3 linked regions of the Styela clava genome follow. The protein of the gene in region 1 purifies or fractionates together with the protein of each later gene. This does not show direct contact. Links are inferred from orthologs where the notes say so. Each region holds a gene or a part of one and is shown in the gene's direction. Other genes may lie near its edges.

Region 1 (7,031 bases):
TACGGCTGATATCTAAAATACTGCAGTGTAATGCTAATACCCATACGTATACATAAGATATCGGATAATTCAATTGTTACGAAATAAACGTGCTTAAACTGTGATAATGATGTAACAATAGACGATATCTAAAACTCAAAAGGTACCACATGAAGGGTTAAACTATTTCACTTAAGTTCGGCGGGCCATTTTAAATCGTTACGCGGGCCCTAATTGGCCCGCAGACTGCGGTTTAGAACCCCTCAGTGTGGAATTGCATCTCAAAATTAGGGGGGGTGTTTGAAATTTTAGGGGGGGTGTTCACCCCCTATAGGGGGGGTGTAGGGAAATCACTGATTCCATGCTTCCGAAAACAAATACCTGGCTAACTTATCCCATAGGCCATACCCGACTTGGACTGGTAACCGGACGAGAGGCTGTGGTTCGCCATATAATTAAGCCGTTTAGTGGCTTCCCTCTCACCCGGGATAAATATGTATATCCTATCCTATCACTGAATTGATTCTGTTCTTGTGTAAAGCTTGAGTTGATGTCATTCACGAACACCATCAAGTCCATGCTTCCGAAAACAAATAACTGGCTAACTAATCCCATACCCGACTTGGACTGGTAACCGGACAAGAGGCAGTGGTTCGCCATATGATTAAGCCGTTCATCACTTTCCTCTCTCCCGGGATAAATATGTATATCCTATCCTATCACTGAATTGATTCTGTGCTTGTGTAAAGCTTGTGTTGACGCCATTCACGAACGCTTTGCAAAGATTCATTTGGTTGAGAAAATTGAAGCGATATTATGCGCACGCATAGCGATATGTCAGTATGTGGTAATTTAAATTTGCGTTTTTTCATGGCAATGTATGCGTTTTTCATTTGTAAAAATCACCATCATTTCAGTTTTTTTCAACACGGCTAGACACGACTCATGTCACATGACGTCAAAATGAATAAATAGTAAACGATTTTCTGCGACTGATATTGTCTGTCCTTGTTCTGCTGTTCCTTGTTCTTCAGTTCTTCGCCGTTAACAAGCGACTGGCAGACTGGTAGGATTGTCTGTTGCGAGTAAGGTCAAATATCTAGTGTAGCGGGAACGAGGATATGAGTCTTTAGGTCAGTAATATTACGTGAATGGATTATGAATTTAATGGAATATGGACTTATTTTAATTTGTACATTTATTCATTTTTTGCATATTTATTAAAATCACTCATTGGGTGAGCCAATCGAAAAAAATATATTACGTGAATCGGCCGAACTCTGTACGTCAGTATTTTTGTCTTTGAGCTGTACGATACCGGTACTAACAATTCAGCAATTACTGAATTATAGAGGCGCAGTTCTTACCACTTCATGGCAGCTCCTGCCACGAACGTACCACGCCGTCTCCTGCCATGGTTTTATGGCGCTATTACCGGTATATTTACAAATTCATGTACCATATTTAAGTTTATCATGCGAAATTATATCTACTTAAACCCTAACCCTAACCCCAAATCCATCCAAACTGTATCCATAAGAAAAACATTCCAACTCACCAAATATTTATCACCATCAGCAGATTAGGGGCAGCCCTGCTATTACAGCCGACCTGCCGTGGTTACGGCAGTAAAATTGGTGGTATTCGATTTGCTGCCGTAACCACGGCAGCTCGCTATTGCAGTATTGGTTTGTGGCAGCTAAAAAGTCAGTCGCCGTGGGTTTGGTCTTAGTGGCCGTGGTTTGGAAATCCCGCCATGGTTTTGCGGCAGCTGTAGACGCCACAAAATACTTGAAACTGCACTTGGAATTATACGCTCAAACATGTCACAATGTCAGAATGTAGATGACCGTACCGTCAGGTCAGGCGTCAGACGGTACCGGTACTGAATTACAGAATTAAGTCTACCAGGAAGCCATGGGTGCAAGCAGAGATGTCAGGATGTGAGTTAGGCCCGTGATTCTTTAATTCTATGGTGAATTAACGCTTCGAACTACATTCTGATATTTGGCATTTCAACCTTCTGTCACTCAGAAAATTCAAGTTACAATTTACTACCTTACGGTACACAGTTATCACTCGTTTATTCATATATCTGTATATTTTTATATTCCATATACAGGCTATCCCTTGTTAATAACAAAATTTGGTAACTCGTGATATGGGAAATTTATTTGCAGAGAAGTGCTTTTTTTCGTCTTGGTCAACTCTAGTAACTATTTTTAATTTTGAATAGCAATTATGCCATATTATGATTAGCACACAACTCATTCTGACATTACGGTAATTGTTTCACATCTCGACAATATTTTATATAAAAGCTATGGACCACTAAGCACGCTTCACACTTAAAATCAGTGTGTATCATCACCTAACTCTGTAACTGCCTAATGCATTAATGCAGGTTATTTTGCAAGTAGCTTAGTTAACTATTATTAACTTCAATATGTCTATCTACCATTGCCTTCTGATGTATTTAACATCAGTTTATTTAGAGATGGTTACTCTCAAAAACATTCACTTTTTGTGGATGAGAATTCAATTCAATAATGACTGAATGAGGACCTCTGAATTTTTAATGAAACAGTAATCTTCCTGCCAGATGAAATGCTGTTTTTCGGAGACTTTTTCGTAAATGATCGAATCTTTTTTTTGGTTTCTTGGTGTTAGCCAATAGCAATCCAATGAATGAAAAAAACAAATTGAGAATTGTACATAAATTTACACAGACAATCCTGAACAAAGCTGACAGATTACTTATTAGAATTTGGGGGGATTGAGATTACATTACTGGATTAAACTATTTTTCTCCAATCAATTAATCTATTATTTGCTATTCTGTTTGTCAACAGCAGTACTGGCATATTTTTTTTTGTTCTCACCCTATTATGATAACTATGGTTATAGAAAATTGATTACCTATTATTCAGTTTTATCAAGAGAAGGACAGAGAAGTGTAAGACAAAGTTTGGAAATTTCAATATCCCAATATACCCAAATGCTTAAAATTATGATTTCAACTACAACGCTTGGGCTGGCCCAAGATTTCTCCAAAAAGTTGAAACTTTAAATTGAATATAATAACAGAACTAATTTTATAATATACTTCATTTAAATATTTGAAAAATTGTTCTGAACTCGTAAAGTTTTAAAATAGATATTAAAATATGGTATACCGGTAATGACTTTTTTTTTCTTGTTTCTCACAAATATTTTTTGCCTTTGCGTTGTGACAAAATTGTCATTCAGTACCAAGATGAAAGATATGCATTACGGATTTCACTTCTGACTTGCTGTATTTATGACCACTTTCACTTGAACAGCTTAGAGTCTTGTTTTATTAACCCCGGTCAATTGCATTGATGGTCATAATTAATAGCCTATAATATGAATCCTGATTCTAAAATTATTGTTAACAAGAACTTCATTCCAAAAAGTATTTTCTAGCGAATTAGTCGCTTTTCTAGGCCCAAATTTTTGACCTGATTTTGGGGGGATCATCTTATTAGACGTGTATGGAAACTTATTTTCCTTTTTTGGTTTCGCTTTATTATTCAATTCGGACCATAAAATACCTTCGGCGATAGCATCCCCTGACGCGACCATGATATATGTTTAATATCGTAATTACGGTAATGTAAAGTATATTTAATTCATTTTTTTTTACATCAATTTTACTCGGTGGGATATCATTGCTGACTTAAGGTTTTTTCCTACCGTGCAATCCTCGAAATAATGAGTGGCAGCATTGCGATAAAGCGAAATTGTTGCAGCAACAACTCAGATATTTTTTTAAATTGCAAAAATACGAATCAAAACAACATATAATTGTACATGTTTATGTCCACGGATTGCGTTGGTAATTTGTAGCAGTGATACTATTTATATTGTCCCAATCGCGGATTAAATTGATCACAATTAAATCGATCACAATTCACAATTAAATCAATGAAGAAACACATTTCGTTTTGTGGAGATTTTCAGGTGATGAACATGTATGTTTCATATATACACTTTATATGTACCGGTATATTTATTTATAAAATCTAAATATAATCAGGTAGTTTATCTCACATTATTATGTCCACAGATTGCCGTGTTAGGCAATGTTCCTATAAGTTGAACACAATTAGATAGAAATTGAAAGAATGTTTGAATTCCTGTAGTTGTTATGGATTGAATATTACGAAAAAAACATAATCGGCTATTTTAACCAATGCGCAAACGCGGCGGCCGCTCAAAAGCCTTTGCATGCAAAGCATGGTAATTTGAGATTCCGATGTTGATGCGATTTTACTACCCGTCTTATTTGCAAGTTATATGCAAAAACCCATTTTTCCAGGCGTAAAAACGGGGCTCGTCTTATTCACCAGGTAGACTTATTCACCGGGAAATACGGTATATCTGGGTGAGAAGTAATTAATATTACTGCAATGCAAAAAAAAATCCAGGTGTATCTAAAGATGTGCCATTGAATAAAGCATGTTCTAGTAGAATAGTTGAAGTCCATGATAGGAGGGAACATATTTAACAAGCTAAGAATGTTCAGAGTAAAATTTCCTATTTATGTATTTAATTAAATGGTCCATATAAGATTTACATAAAAAAACAGATTTAATGGAAAATGATTACATCAAGAGTTGGTAACTAACTCAATTTCATATTATTTTGGTACTGGTATACATGGGTCTGATCGAACATATTATGCATATTTTTGTTTTGCTATTATTTGGGTTGTAAAAGATTAAGTTGTAGTCGTATCCAATCTTTTGTATACAGAAATATACTATTTTTTGTCATAGATAACCATTCCATGTCAAGTTTTCTATCATATATTTCAAAACCATATTACTCATTAAAATATTATTTAGATTTAATTTTTTGAGTTATATTTCCAGATCATTTCATACAGTATAATAGTTACTGAACGAACTAACTTTTGGAAACACATTATGTCACGTCATGAAGGTATGTTATTATGAAAATATGCTAATCATATTTTATATATGTAATAGGTCATTCCAGCTCACTACAGTTATACATGACTCATTATAATTACTGTGGATTGTAGACAATCATCAGAAAATTTTCCCACTTAAACATTTACATTCCTTTTTTAATTGGACCAGCAAACTGTGTGTTTGGGATAGTGTGATAGGTCAGTAGTAATAGGCGTCAAATTATTTGTTTCACATTTTTCTGATTGGCAAATTTTGTGATAACAAATATACATATAATCAATTGCACATAGGTTCCTCGAATCTCATTGGGGTTCCGCCCCACGAAAAAGGTGAAAACCCTGTTATATACTTCGGGTGTAATTGTAATGGAAGGTAGCAGACTATTCCTATTTAAGGCTCATTGTACTTCTGCCAGTTTAGCAATATATAACCATAAAATTGTCCAAAGCCTAGATATATATATATATTGTAGCCTATTATATATTATTTTAGGAGTCAGCTGTGATAATTGCTTAATGAGCAATTTTCGACAAAAGCGTTTCAAATGTTTAATTTGCTACGATTACGATCTCTGTGAGATTTGCTACGATAACAATGTCAGTACATCACGTCACTCTCCTTCTCATCCAATGCAATGTATTTTAACAAAGCACGCCTTTGGTAAGTTTCATTTCTTAAAATAATATACTTAATTGGAAACCAAAAATCAGGCTTCAAAATTTATATAGGCTAATGCTGTAATTGTAATGTTGATGAAATTTTATCATTTTTTACCAAATTTGGCAATGTTTATACACAAATTTTATGTTGTATAGATAAATTTTATGTTGGATACCCATGTAACAAAGTCATTTTCTTCATGTGTATTGATATAAGATAATTGAAATCAAATCATTTATATTGCAAAGCATTTTCACCAAGCTTTCTGATAGCAATGCCTTTATTATCGTATCAATATTCGTTATGTATTTGTATTTTGGCTATGACCAAATAAATGATATATTTCTGATACTGTGAATATTACATTTGAGCTATCGTTTCTTATTCAATTTTTTTTTTATCTCCTTTCTTTTTGTGATCCAGATCTTTTCTATGGAGGTGAAGGTATAGGAATGGACAGTCCACCATCACTGACTTGCCCACTTTGTGGAAAGAAAGGTTTCACAGAAGTTAATTTACAAGAACATGTTAATTCTCAACATCTTGAAACTAGTGTAGAAGTGGTAAGTTCTAGAAATAAAATTTTGGAGGAGGCGTTTAAACTAATTCTCGTTCTGAAATACTGTATTTAGCAATTCTGCAACTAATCCAAAACCACTTTTAGCACTAAAATTTAGGTTTTTCCATATTACTGCCCAATAAGCAGAGGCTGAAAAATTGTGTTATTTTTTTCTGTTCTTCAGTTATGCACCAAAGCAAAGCACCTTGTTTTCCTAACTTACTACACATGATGGTACCGGTAACTGCATTTGCTCGTGATGCTCGCACAAATGCGGCAACATCATTTATAATATTCGCAGCAGACATTCCAGATTCACAATGTGAGAATGCTGATTCATGTAACAAGGCACTTTTTGCCCCACTTGACCGAAGTGAATACACGTTATTTTTCCCCTTTTCTGGTACAAAGCTGATAATATTGCTAAACTTTCAGGTCTGCCCAATATGTGCTGCAATACCAACTGGAGATCCAAATCATGTAACTGATGACTTTGCCACCCATCTTGCCATTGAACACAACACATCACATCGTACTGCGACCATTGAGGACCCAATAGGAGGTCGGCAAAGCATGAGACGTGAGAGTTTATTTGATGAAACATAACATAGTTTTTAATACACTACTAATATACACTTTGATGTATAGTATGGATAGGTTTTCAGAATGAATTTGGATCTTTGAATAGAAATAATTGATGAGTCAATTAATGGTGTCGTGATATGTAAAATGGAGTGAACCTGTGTGTTTATTAGTCTGTCAGATATCAGTTGCAATGCTCAAAATTAACTCTTAAATACTCCTACTCTACTATTAATTATCAAAAAATCTGTCTCATATTCATGGAAAACTTTTGACCACCTAAATATTTA
Region 2 (8,008 bases), on another chromosome or scaffold:
TCATCTTGAATTCTTGCGTAGTTTTTGTGGAGTTAATATACCGTTAGTCGTTCTCGTTTCAGTATAAAACTGTAATGAAAACGACTTCGGCTAATGAGTATTTACGTTTGTAAGGTGTCAGGCCGGCGATAATGAGGCTTTGAACTCGGCGATAACTGAGCAGTAATTTAGGCGCGCGGCTTCATTATCACCTATCTGGCACCTTATCTAATCTCCGTGCATGGATATCACTTCACTCAGGCCATCATGAAGAATGTGCGTCACAATAATTTGGCTCGCCTATACAACAAGTGAGTGGTTAACCATATGTATATATGTCTTTGTACATCTTTCACTTCTTTTGTATTAACATGTTTTTATTTTGTTTTAGGGAGGCTGGAACAAGAGACCTGATCAAGCATGTCATGACGCTGTGCTATATACCACCTATGTTTATTACGTCCAGATTCAAATCACTGAAAGAAAAGAAGCAAACTCAAGAACTTCGCCGAATATTTTCAAAACACAAGCTATACAACAGTGTCTGGACTCCCAATGATTGGTCAGTATTCGACGTAGAAATAAGAACCAACAATCATCTGGAAGGTTGGCACCGCCATTTTAACAGTATAACTCGGAAAAATATGCCTTTTTACAGTTTAATCTCAACAATGTACGAGGTAAGTATAGGGATAGAGGTGGACGTTGTGGAGATTTTGGAAGAGAATGTTGTGGGGCGTGTCAACGGCAGGTATGCGGAAGCCAACGAGAGGGCCGCAGTATTGCAAAGAGTAAGTATGTAACGCAGCAAATTTCCCAAAACGTTTAGTATTCAAATAAAATTCATTATTCGTAACGAAAAAGAAAACAAAACCTTCCATCCATTAACCCTACCAAAGTATTTTAAGTTAGATCACGAAATTGCTACAGCAATATTATGCTATTGTTTGCCAACCACGAAGCGGTAGCAGTAAAGGATTTAGCGAATATTTCTATTTTTTATCACGGTTTGAAGTTTCAACTCCCAAGAAAAAAAATGTCTTTTTTCTATCCGGTTTGTGACTCAGACCACCACTTTTAAAAAAACTTTAAATAAGCTTCCCAACGAGCCGTCAGTGGGCAGCAGAGGATTAGTTTTTTTTCGTTAGTCGATCGAATAGTTGTGGGGGTACAAATGCATAAAATCGGCGTAGCAAATATGATTATTTAATAAAAATCGCATGGAAAAGGTTAAATTTCCCCATAACGTTTAGTATTCAAATATCATATTAAATTCATTAATCGTAACAAAAAGTAAACATCATTTTAGGTGTCGCTGCCTGAAGACCTCTTGAGGTCCCTCGCGACTCCTGTCACACAATTTAAGTTATTTTCCACTTGTATTTGTAATATTTTTTCATATATCATACCATGTTTAAATTGTGTTGATGAATAAATGATGATTGATTGATTGATTATCCATACTTCGGCCCAGTTTCTTTGCCAGGCGCAGCGACAGTGCCTATCTGTTCCTGGTTTTCTTCTGCAAAAAGAAATTCCAACTCTATGACTGAAACCTTGCCGTGGTGAGTTGGCTCACAACTAATATCAGTCGGCACTAAGTAAATGCTATGCAACTCTTGAGTCTGCGTTTTGCAAAGCAATGTCTTCTCCTCGAGCATCGATATCGCAGATAAGAGCGATTGCTCGACTGATGAGTTGTCTGCCTCTCGTTGCTCGGTAGTCGAGTTGTCTTCACCTCGAGCATCGATGACGTCACGTCGCAGAGCGTTTGCTCGACTGGTGAGTTGACGGCCTGTCGGGCGACTGCCGTCGGCGAGTTTAGACTACTGCAACCATAGACTACTGAGCTCACATTCATTAATATTTAAGTGTTACTGTGAAGTCTGAAGGTTTTAATATATTTGAAGGTGCTCATTCAAAACATTTAATACCAATAAAGTTCAAAAAATTAAACGAACACAGTCCTATAAGTCAACAGTCTAACTTCTCTAACGTTACCCAATTTCGTCTGTAGACTGTATTTGTATTCATACAACATGATCAAAATAAGCCACTTATACAAATAAAAAGCATAGCCTATGGCATATTTATGTATTTTTCTCATAACGTCAATTCCTTTCTATTTTCCACAACAGTTAAGTGTAATAAATAGCATCATAATCTGTTTCAATGGAACAGCAAGATGACTCTATGACTGAACCGTCGACAGAACCTCAATACAGAGAGGCTGATCTAATCATTAAAATTCGGGAACTTAATCCGCACATTGTGTGTGCATTATGTGCTGGATATTTTATTGATGCAACAACAATTACTGAATGCTCTCATACTTTTTGCAAGGGTTGCATTGTCAAACATTTTCAGACTAAAAAATCTTGCCCAGAGTGTGGAGATGAAGTCCATGAAACACAACCTTTGAACAACCTACGAAGTGATCGTGTTATGCAAGATGTCGTTTATAAGTTGGTCCCAAACCTTTTTAAAAATGAACAAGAAGCAGAGGCAACATTCTACAGATCAAAAGGAATCGATTTCACTTTGAGTGGAAGTCATTTGTTAAACATTGGTACCCCTCTAAAATATACCCAACAAAAACTTATTCGTGATACCAGTAATGCAGAAGTGCCATCAATTGACGTTTATAAGATATCAAACTATAATGTTGCACATACAATTCAATATGATGAGAAACTCATTATTTTTTTGACTATGCATCCTGGTATGTTGTCAGAGGTATTTAATAATGGCAGCAATTCATTTTATAAAGGAATATCATTTACGCCTTTTCTGAAAAATTATGTGAGATGTTCATCGAGAGTGACTATTTATTACTTAAAAAAACTGATAAGGCTAAAGTTGAATCCAATTTTGAAAATGCATGAAGATTTGCAAATTAACATTTATTCTGAAGAGAAAATCTTACCGGATAGTGTAATTATGAAAAAAATATTATTAGACCAGCTTTCACTGAACAGCCCATATATTTTATTGTCGTACGATTTCCAAATGCTGAATAAGATTCAATAAATATAAACAAACAAAAATCAAAGTACTCCTTCGTTAAAATATCAAAAAATCTCCTTTACTAAATGATACTTCTAGATTTTATGAAATCATCTTCTTAACGAAATTGGTTTTAAGCAGTGGTACCTATCCTACTTTTAGTTTTATTTTGTTCAAATGGAATGATGTGTAACTGTTGTAGACTTGGATCCAAATATCAGTTTTGTATCTTTTATCATCCAACCAGAAAATACCTAGTCCCATATCATTATTTGGAATCTGAATGCATGTTAATATTTGTCAGTCTCTTTTATTTTTCTACACGAGTTTTGATGTGCATTTAGGGCCAATGCATCACATCACCAATGTTCTAAATATGAAGTTGAACCATCAATATTCTAAAACAAAGTACTGACCGATATTGACATACCATGAATTTTGATATGATACTAATTCATTTATTACAGTGGTTCTCAACCTGTGGTACGCGGCCAGATTTACGGTAAATTATTGCAACAATTGACTTTTGAGTTGGCTAAAATATGCCGACAACGCTTCTATTTCATATTGTATGTATTCGCTGAACGGCCTTTATGAATATTTCACGGGCATCAATTTCCTTGTTTATTTCTGTAACCATAACCAATCAGCAAAAAGTCAACAATGACTTAACAATTGCAATTTCTGCAGCCGCTCAGACACTTCTGTCGCTCAGACAGATATTCAAGTATGGTTGTAAAGTAAACATTGCCTCGTTTTTAGAGTTTTGCGAGTTATTTGTTAGTTTTCAGTTATTTTGAAAAAATAGTTGTAAATTAAATATCATTATGTCTCCAAAGGAGCATTAATTTAGTTGCTGTAATCAAAAATGAGTCTCGCAAATGCTGCGATAGACCAGTCTAAACTAAGCTATCAGTGCCACATGGTTGATTAATTTAAATAAAAATTAGGGCTTCAAACATGTAAACCACCTTATAAGCGCCAACGCATCGAAACACTTTCTAAAATTTTTTGCAATAGTAAAGTATAGTAAGAGTTTTTCTGGGGTCAAGGGTTGGAGAAACGTCCTATTTACCAGTCTAGTCTTTAAGAGATCGCCCTTGTCTGCTACTGTCCCCGAATGAATCAAGATGGGCATGTTTCGTCCATCTTGCGAATTGAGTCACGAAGGATGAAGTGCCACATTATAGAATACTCCCATAGCGTGTGTCATGTGCCATTGTTCCCCACGCCAAAAAGGTGCTTTTTTAGTTGTACGCGGCAAAAAACAGTTGAGTGGTACACGGTCAGTAAAAGGTTGAGACCACTGATTTATTAGGAAAGAATATCCAAAATAATGAATGATATGTGTATACTGAAACCTTTTTAAAATGTCATTGTTTGATGGATGTTGGGATAGATTTTGGTTGTAGGTTGATCATTTTTAGATAAATAAATTTACAGAAGTTATTGTTGTTTTTTCTTATCTGACATGTCATTTTTTTGCTCAATCATCTGTTTCTATACCATAAATTGCAATTGCCACTATTAAGTTTTCAAAACTCACATATTTGGGAAATTTCATTGAAGTCAGGCATTTTGATGTTTAAATTGTGCTTCATGAAAATCATATAAGGTAGTTTTATGATTCCAGATGGCTTATCTGTAACAGGGATATGGGGTCAAAGAATAGTTCATACGACTACAATAGAAATTGACTACAGCTGTAGATTTAAGGGTGAAAACTATGTAACCCCAACTACTATTTTCCCACCTTTATAAGTTTGGCTTGAAAATTCCAATTTTGATTCGTTGGAGGTTAGGTTTCAATTCCAAACTTTATGTAATATAAAGGGCTCCAATATGAGGAGATTTGGCTAATCCCTCAAAACACTGGTTATCAGAAAAGGATTTTATATATCGTAGGATTTTATATCAACTAGCTTAAAAATAGGAAAGCCCTCAACTTCAAGCTTTAACAATCCAAAATTAGATTTATGAACTTTAAATTCATCAAGACTTATAAGCAGTTTAACTATGAACTACATTTCATGTTTTGTTTTCTCATTATTTTTTACACCAGAGATTATGAATATTTACTAGTTTTTAAAATTACTCAATCATGTTGAATATTTCATTGAGATTAAGTGCAATCAAGAGAATATTTTCTAATGTAAGTAACTTTTATTGATTATTTGAAGTGGTTCTAATTTTAGGTTGATATCTTGGATTGAAGAATTATTCTTTTCAGAGTAATAATAAATTATATGACTATATTATCTGCTCAAAGCTAGCTCAACTTATTCAGAGTACAGGAAACTCGTTCAAAACCAAATTTCCAAATGACCGATGATATTTAAGAAGGATAAGAACTTTAATAATCCTTGGTCCAGATCACTAAAAAATGCACTAGGTACAATTGTGATAAATTGGTTATAACGCAAATATTATTTTGTATGGTTAAGCCGGAATTTCAAATTATATCACATAATTACGATTTCAATTCAATAGTTAACGTAAATTTAGGCGTCGCGGAAAACAATATCAAGCAAACTGAACAACAATCAGTTTTTTTGTAACTTCAAATCGGCTCAGACTTGTTTTACAGATGTGATGTGTCCGGAAAAAAAAGTTAGAAAATAGCAGAATTTTGCACAAAATGATCCGTTACACAACGGGGCACTTTAGATCGACTAGGTGTCGTTCTGTGTTTTCGGAAGGCATGTGCATTATACATTTATCCTTACGTTGTGTTTGTCATTGCCATACCATTTGATGGAGTTTTCAAACTCGCCGATATATATATAGTGTTGTGTCGACCCTTGTGTGCGCGCGCACAAGTAATGTTTACGAGCCTTTAAGCGAGTTTGCTTTGCTGAAGGCTGCAAATCACCAGGTGACTGTTTTTTTATATATTTACCGAAGTCTTGAAATTACGAACGTGCTTGTGATTCAATCCTCGATTCGTTATTTTTAGCTTGTTATTAGGAGATATCTAAATGTTGCTTGCAGGGCATTGCGGCATCATCCAGCCGATATGTATCGACAGATACAGGAGAATCTAATATATATGAACTTCGAAAGTATTCATTAACACCACATGGCATGCCAAAGTTTTTAGAGTTATTGGAGAAAAATTATCATCTCCGAACCCAACATTCTCCTTTTTGGGGGTATTGGATTGCAGACCTGGGGGCTTTGAATCAAGTCATACATATTTGGGAATATGGTACGTCTTTTTCTTGTGTTTATTGTGTACATATATCAGCGGTTTTCATAGGGGGTACTAGTACTTCGCGGCGATTTGCTTAGCGCGCCCTAAAATTAACGGAATTCTGTTAAACATATCTAACTAATACCGTGTTTCCCCGAAAATAGGACTGGGGGTTATTTCAATTTTCTTTCGAAAAATAACACTAGGGCTTACTTTCGGGGGATGTCTTTTATTTATCAAAACAAAATTACAAAGTAAAAAATTACGAGATTTTCGAATATACAAAATATGAAAACCGATATCCATTAACAATTTTACTCTCTCACACGTTTTAGACGGTGACCGTACATTTGAACCCACGTACATTTGAACCCGTGTGCATATCCACGGGTTCAATCTATATGCGGGTGTTAAAACCCATGGGTTAGGGTTAGTATGGGTTCAACTATCCGTAAAACAAAAAAAATTCCATAGGTGCAATAGCATACAGGTGCAATTGTCATGGGTTCAAATGTACGTGGGTTCAAATGTAATGGAACCGTTTTAGACTAATCATTTAAAACGTATTGGAGGGATTTCTTGCCATCGACTAGGTCAAAAAAAATTTTGAGTATTTGACTAGGTCTTATTTTAAAGGGTGGGCTTATATTAAAATCATTTTTAAAAGTCAGACTAGGTCTTATTTTCAGGGAAACACGGTATATCATTGAGTATTTCACATATTGTATTTATTATAAAAATATTTTACTGTTCCCTATTTTAAATGGTGTGTATATGATCAATAAATTCATTTTACCGCTTTATGTGGTTTACTTCATGTTGGATAGTACCTGCCTCTTGAGGTCACGTAACAATAGAGTTACTTGCTTGCTGCAATTTCGTGGGCTGCATTTTATTTATTTGCTAAACCGAGTTTAGCGAACATGGGTGCTTTTTTTAGTATTTCGACGAAAAATCGGGCAGAAATGAGGAATAAGCGTTGAATTTTTGCCTTCATTCTTTGGGCCTACATGTTTACAAACTTTAAAAGGCATTAGGTACTCATTAATGATCGCAATATTGAGGAAAGCACTTTTTTTCGAGGAAGTGCCCGGAATCCACATAGGCCTAGCTTTGACAGGTGCCATTTGACGTCACTTTTTGTGATTGTCTTCATTTTTGATCTAACCTCAAAAAATGAAGCTGATCAAGAAGGCAATAAAACTGAATGAAATCAAAATGCTACATTACTTAAGTTCAGTTTATGTAATTTTCCAGAAAACTTTGCCCACAGAACCGCTGTAAGAACTGCTTTAGCGAAAGACAAGGAGTGGCAAGAATCATTTGTTCAAAAAGCATTTCCATATGTCGCTCATCAAACTAATTCTATCGTCTTGAAAGCTAATTGGTGCGATTTACACATGGATAAGACTGACACAGGTGGGCGGTGAATTATTTTGTAACCATAGTTGCAACTGACAGATGGTCGCTGGTGTTTATAAATATATATCTATTTAACAAGGATGCTTTGAACTATCAACATATGGAATGAGGGTTGGAGGTCCTCGGGTTTGGGAAGAAAATTTGAAAAGTTCATTGCTTGCGCATGCAAGACTTGAATATGCGGACTTGATTGGAACTTGGTATACGGATGTCGGAGACCACAACACAGGTTAGCTAATTATTACTTATAATATATTACCTATTGCTTCTAGAGTCCCATCGCTTATAAGCATAGCATTTCTACTTTCCTGGAATTACTTTTTATTTCATAGATTGGTATGTTGTGTTCACTTTTGGTACGAAATAAACAAGTGTTTAAAAAAATAATACCATTCTTTTCGAAAGGAC
Region 3 (6,216 bases), on another chromosome or scaffold:
TACATTCTTTTTCATCACTGTGTATTTTTAGACTTTCAATATTTTTTTCAATTTCAAATTTTGTAATTGCTAAAGAAATTACTAATTGCTATTCCCGGAGTGAATTTTTTTCTTGATGTTTTTTTTTAAAGAATTAATTCCACGTCCACATTATTATATAGATAAGAGTATATAATAATCTTTAGTAAAAACTATCCTTTCAGTCGTGTGATTTATTCTGATACGTCTTTTAAAATATTTTGTTTAAACGTATTCAAGATTTAAAAAAAAGAACAACAAATAACGTTCCTGCTAGGAGAGATTTTCCTTCAGATATGAATGCTTTGGCTGAAATAAAGTAAGCAACCTGTTCTTATTTTAAATAAATCAGTTTTCATAAATAGCAGGATTAAATTGTTTACTTCACGTAACTTTGTCTGTGTAAACACTTATAGAACACAGGCGATATACGCTAGTGTGTGGTCAGCGCGTTTGCTTTGTCACGGTCCACCAAACGTATGAAGTAAGTCAGTTCATCACCTTTTGAATAGGGGTTCACGCAAGACAAGCGCTGATCTTACACAGAGAGATCCGACGCATTCTCAATTATTTTGAACAAGAATAATAATTTGTGATGTGAAAATTCTGTTGGGTATATTCAGTATTAAATTGAATGCAAAATATTTGGTTTTGGACTTCCTCCAGCCAAAGTTTTTATACAACGGACAGCGTGAAATGAATCGTGATTACGCCTTCGGGACAGTGCGTGAGTATTATCGTCCACGCTTTAGGATCAGGGAAGTCGAGTTAGGAAAAGCGTATTAGGAAAATTGATGTCACATAACTAGGGCTGGGAATTTCAGGGAAAACACTTTAACAGCGTGACGTTTGACGTAATAATTTATAATTTTAGCTTGTTACGTCTCAATGATTACAAAGCAATTTAGGGTGATCTTATCCCGCTATCGCTCAAAATTATTCGCTCTGCTAGAAGAAATATGCAGCGTGATTCGTACATGTGAAAGTATTGTAATAAAACCTGAATCCGTTATTGTATGTCATTTATGTGACAAACTTTCAGTGTTCGACTTGCAAATTCTACGCTGGGATATATATCATAAAGAAAAACAGTATCAACTGCGCACTTGTTGGATGACATTGAATATACGATTTTGCAATAAAATTGTGAACAAAATATTTTTACCGAAAACTGAATTTATCATTGTCAAATTTTCATAATCAGCATCTTGGTACTTCAATTATTGTTCACATTTATTGGGAATTAAATGCCACAGGAGATGAATTTGCGATGACGTAATCATTTTTGAAAAAATTGTACATTATAAAGATGATTTATACCTAAGATGTCAGTTAACGGTTAAAATAAATCGTAACCGTTAACCATCTAAAATCGGTTAACCGATTAACGGGTTAACTATCCCCAGCCCTACACATAACATATTTCATTTTTGAACTTCGTCATGGTCCAAAAAATGACAACATAAGTTTAGCTTATTTAACTCGAATCATTGCGGATAGCAACATCACATTACCTTGCAAAGGCTAAGCTTGCTTTTTTACCTTCCAAGCAATACATTTTAGCTTTAACCAATTTTTGTTCAAATGTTATAATCATTCATTCATCATTGTACTGTGTAGGCAAAACAAACAATGACAACCATTGTCGGGCATGCATACTGGCCAAACAATTCAATGCTAACCAATCGAGCAATTGCTACCTGAAGAATTCAATAAACTAAATTTTCAGTCGTTTTGTAAATTCAGATTTGTTGATTTGTCAGATATGGTGATGACCATTTTAAAATTTATATAATTATTCGCGAGCACGACAACCAAATTACAACTACGGCTACATAGCGCCTCGAGTGGTGCATACATTCGATAATAGTATGTATTCAGAAGTCCACAGAAATGTAGGGCCACAACTGATACTTTCCCGAGTCTTTACTCCAAACAAAATTTTTCCACGCTACTCCATTGCAAAGTTTTTATTGCTTATTTCAGGGGTATATTTGCGAGGCGCGTGCTGAAAGTTTATTTTCGAAGCTTAGTACCGTGTTTCCCAGAAAATAAGACCTAGCCCAAATTTAAAAAATTATTTCAATACAAGCCCTCTTCTTAAAATAAGACCTAGTCAATACCGCGAACTTTTTTTACTTAGTCGATAACAAGAAATCTCTCCTACACGTTTTAAATGATTGATAATCTATGTTTTGCAGTTATTTTGACTAAAAATGTGCCATGGGTATCGCTTTTCATATTTTGTATGATTGAAAATCTCGTAATTCTCTAATTTATAATTTTGTTTTTGATAAATGAAAATAAGAGACATCCCCGAAAATAAGCCCTAGTGTTGTTTTTCAGAAGAAAATTGAAATAAGAACCAGTCTTATTTTCGGGGCCGTTTTCAATAATTGGAACTAAACTAGAAGACTTCCGAGAAAGAAATGACTCCTGAAATAAACCTAAACTTTGAAAATATAACGAAAAACAAACATTTAAAATAACAAAATGAGTAAATGTTTATAAGGTAGCTTAAAAAACCTGGGTAAAAGGTGTCCGATCGATTGCTTCAAATTTCAATTATTACGCAACAGTTCTTTCTGATATTTACCATCAAATAACATTATTTTTCCTAAAATTTGTTTGATCTCCATGCTTGCGAGTCATATCCTGTGGTGGAATAAAAATAAAAAAACGGTTCTCTTTTTGTATCGATTCCACAAACAACATGTCGCCTACGTAGTCAAAAGTTTACAGTGATACTCGATTTTGAATACCTGTCAAAAATAAAAAACCTAGATAAAAGTATAATGCACTGAATATATTTGCTGACCGTAATGAGACACTCACTGAGCGCACGAGACTCTCGGCCTAATGGGACATGCGCAGATCATTTTTGTCAAGCACCGATACCGATATTTGAAATTCTCGATATTCTAATAATATGTAATCAATATCAATGTATATACGATGTTTTTTAATTACACGCTACCAAAGAGTATTTACAGAGAACATTATTTCGATCAGATATCCCAAACACGAGAACGCACAACTTTAAATCTGCATTTGTGATTAAAATTCATAAATGATGTGTCACTATAAACTCACTACGTTAGTATATTTGTCACCTATCCTGGCTCACATCCCTCATAACCAATATATTTCAATACCTACCTCAGTATCAATACCCTAATTTCATTCTATTTTACTTAAACTGTAATCAGTAGCATTTAATAATTGATGTTATCTACTAGACTACAATTTGGTAATATTTTGGCTCTTCATTGGGGAATGAAGCGGTTTAGCCTACCTCTTCATGCACCCAACTATAATACCCTTAACGAAATATTTTTTTATGTCTTATATTAGATACTGTTCACCCTTATTTACAAAATCTGTATTCAATTTGGAAACTTTCATAAAATTATCAAAATGGTCAAGCTTATTTTTTATTTTAATTCTTATTTTTTATTTTAATTCTTTTTATTTTTTGTGTACAATATAATTTATCTAAAGCTTCTCTATTTTTTCTAACTTTGTTATATCCCTGTGGTTGTGAGTGTGTGTGAACACGTACCACTTCTTTTTGACAAAAACCTTCCATCTTATATTCTGTACGTTTTAAACCTCATCCAAGGTTTCGTTTTCTCTTCTGCTTTCATAATCAGTTTTTATTTTATTTGTTTTTATCAATCATTAAATCTCCTTTTATGCTGATTATGGAATCGAAATAAACTTATCTTATCTTACTTATTTGATTGATACGCAAATTATAGCAGACGTTAGGTTTTGCCTTGGCGCTAGTAATTGGTGCACAACTAGAAAACTCATAGTAAGCCGATTACTATACATGGAAAAATACATATACTGTATTTAATATATTCATTTATTTTAAGGACACACTATACAAACTGTGGAGAGCCTTTAAATCCTTCCACGGCAAAAAATAATTCCAGTCGCAGATACCCGTATTCTAGATAAGATCAGAGAGATGTTTACTTCGGAAATATTCGATAAATTCTAGACTAGATACCACACCGGGTTTCCCCGAAAATAAGAAAGTGTCTTATTTTAAATTTATTTTCAAGAATAACACACATTGACCCCATTCTGCCCCTTTGTTACCCTATTTCGCCTTTGGACACTCATAGAATATTATAGGGGTGTCTGATTACGAATTTTGAAATTTTGTTAGAAGTTAGATATTGCACTAGCCACTAGCATATTAGCGTAATAGATGGAAGTCCGACGACTGATTGCTATAATTACCAAGTCAGTACTTAGGACAAGCTATAGGAAAGTCTCGTCATCCAGTAAAAAATGTGCAGCAATACCAACAATTCAAGAGATTAGGACACAGTTGCAGCAAACGCTCGGCGCAAGCTCAGCATGGATTAAAAGTGAAGAATATAGGGAAAAACTTGCAGCTTCTCTGCCACAGACTCAGAGTGATTTGATGCCCCGTCGGATGCAAGATAGCTATTATGAAGCTATTGTACCCTTGTCAGATCCTGTCATACGGGAAAAATACAAAGGATTATATGATAATGTAAGACTTGGACAGTTGTTGGAAAATTTGGATACGTTTGCAGTACACATCAGTTATCTACATAATAATCCTTACTCATCAAAGACAGGGGAAAGTCCTTTGTCAATTGTTACAGCAATGGTTGATGAAATAAAAATTCACAATCATTGCTTGGAATCTCAGGCAGATATATTACTTAAAGGTCATGTGACATGGACAGGGAAAAGCTCCATGGAAATCAAGATGTGGTTGACTCAATTGGCAAAACCTATCATTGATGCAACATTCGTTATGGTAGCACGAGATCCGTTAAATCGTTCTGCGATAGTTTACCCTCTGTTAATGGAAGATCCCAAAGACAAAGCTTTATTTCAGGAAGGGGAAAAACATAAAATTGAACGGTTGGAAGAGGCGAAGTATTCACTTTTGAAATATCCCCCAAAAGAAGAAGAAAGACAAGTTGTACATGACTTATTTTTACAAACATTAGACACAAAGACTATGTCTTTTCGAGGAAGACAGCTGCCAGAAGATTGTGTGTGGATGGAAGATACAAAACTGAAAAATTCAATTATTTGTTTTCCTGAAAAGCGCAACATTCACAATAAAATTTTTGGTGGTTTCCTTATGCGCACAGGTTTCGAACTTGCATGGGCGAATGCTTGTATATTTTCTAAAACAAGACCTCATGTCACAGCTGTGGATGATATTTTATTTCGTTGCCCGGTGCAAATTGGATCACTTTTGCTTATATCATCCCAAGTATGCTTTTCTCAGGGTAAGGATTTTCACATCCGAGCACATGCTGAAGTTATGGACCCACATACAGGTGTCAGTACTACTTGCAACACTTTTAACTTTTCTTTTACATGTGATAATGAAAACCTTCCCACAGTTATGCCAAGAACATATGGTGAATCCATGCTATATTTGGATGGAAGAAGGCATTACAATACCCTCAAAGGTATATCTGGCGTCTGATAAAATTATTTTCTCCAATGTAAGAAATGGTATGGCAGAATTCCTTTTCACAACCTGCAATATATTTTTTTGCTAGGTAATTTCCAGGCTGTTCTTGTTTTTCTAACTTTCATTCCATGTATCTTCTATTGTGATATCTTTAACACTTCTATTCAAGACTGATAACAATACACACAAATTAGCATTGAGTTGTTTTTCTTCTATCACCAGAGTAGAAAAAAGCACAGACAATGAGACAAATTGGTCAATCAAAGTTTATTGCATATTTTCAAAATGATCAAGATTGTTTGATTGTATAAAATAGAGATTGCACAGAGAATATAAGTAAGAATATATACAAATTATGCATCACTGCATGGCAAGGTTTACATATGCATAGGTCAAATTTTACTATAAAATGTAGTTTCTATGCTGAATCAACAATTTTTTTTAGAATCCGATGGTCTTACTCGGCGGCTCCTCCAAGCCTGAGAGGAAATACACAAACATTACTTTGTAGTCGGTGTAGCTTGTTTAATATTTTATGATTATGCTAAAAATAATTTGAATTAATCAAATTGTTGCTTGTTGGAGACAATGAAATGAAAAACAAATAAAACTGTGGACAATAAGCTTCAGGTTACTGGGTTCATTATCGAGCAGTGCAAATATCTTAAATTCTAGTAACATGATTGACTATTTCGAAGATGCATATTGCTAATATA

The links.
Region 2: the proteins of E3 ubiquitin-protein ligase KCMF1-like (region 1) and protein NipSnap homolog 3A-like purify together in Homo sapiens (affinity purification with mass spectrometry; 4 studies listed by BioGRID and IntAct, counting the BioPlex papers as one, with this or other methods). This does not show direct contact. The link is inferred for Styela clava from reciprocal best matches to the Homo sapiens genes KCMF1 and NIPSNAP3A.
Region 3: the proteins of E3 ubiquitin-protein ligase KCMF1-like (region 1) and acyl-coenzyme A thioesterase 9, mitochondrial-like purify together in Homo sapiens (affinity purification with mass spectrometry; 3 studies listed by BioGRID and IntAct, with this or other methods). This does not show direct contact. The link is inferred for Styela clava from reciprocal best matches to the Homo sapiens genes KCMF1 and ACOT9.

The regions. Positions count from the first base shown.
Region 1 is NC_135258.1:14,976,228-14,983,258, forward strand, and holds the start of E3 ubiquitin-protein ligase KCMF1-like, read left to right. Parts: upstream 1-3,912; 5' UTR 3,913-3,927; coding exon 3,928-3,963; intron 3,964-4,877; coding exon 4,878-4,947; intron 4,948-5,432; coding exon 5,433-5,600; intron 5,601-6,023; coding exon 6,024-6,163; intron 6,164-6,594; coding exon 6,595-6,739; intron 6,740-7,031. UniProt on the Homo sapiens protein: E3 ubiquitin-protein ligase which accepts ubiquitin from an E2 ubiquitin-conjugating enzyme and then transfers it to targeted substrates, promoting their degradation by the proteasome.
Region 2 is NC_135263.1:19,597,381-19,605,388, forward strand, and holds the start of protein NipSnap homolog 3A-like, read left to right. Parts: upstream 1-4,946; 5' UTR 4,947-5,086; coding exon 5,087-5,137; intron 5,138-5,976; coding exon 5,977-6,193; intron 6,194-7,435; coding exon 7,436-7,597; intron 7,598-7,679; coding exon 7,680-7,829; intron 7,830-8,008.
Region 3 is NC_135263.1:10,833,346-10,839,561, reverse strand, and holds acyl-coenzyme A thioesterase 9, mitochondrial-like, read left to right. Parts: upstream 1-4,114; 5' UTR 4,115-4,240; coding exon 4,241-5,512; 3' UTR 5,513-5,700; downstream 5,701-6,216. UniProt on the Homo sapiens protein: Mitochondrial acyl-CoA thioesterase. Catalyzes the hydrolysis of acyl-CoAs into free fatty acids and coenzyme A (CoA), regulating their respective intracellular levels. Regulates both mitochondrial lipid and amino acid metabolism.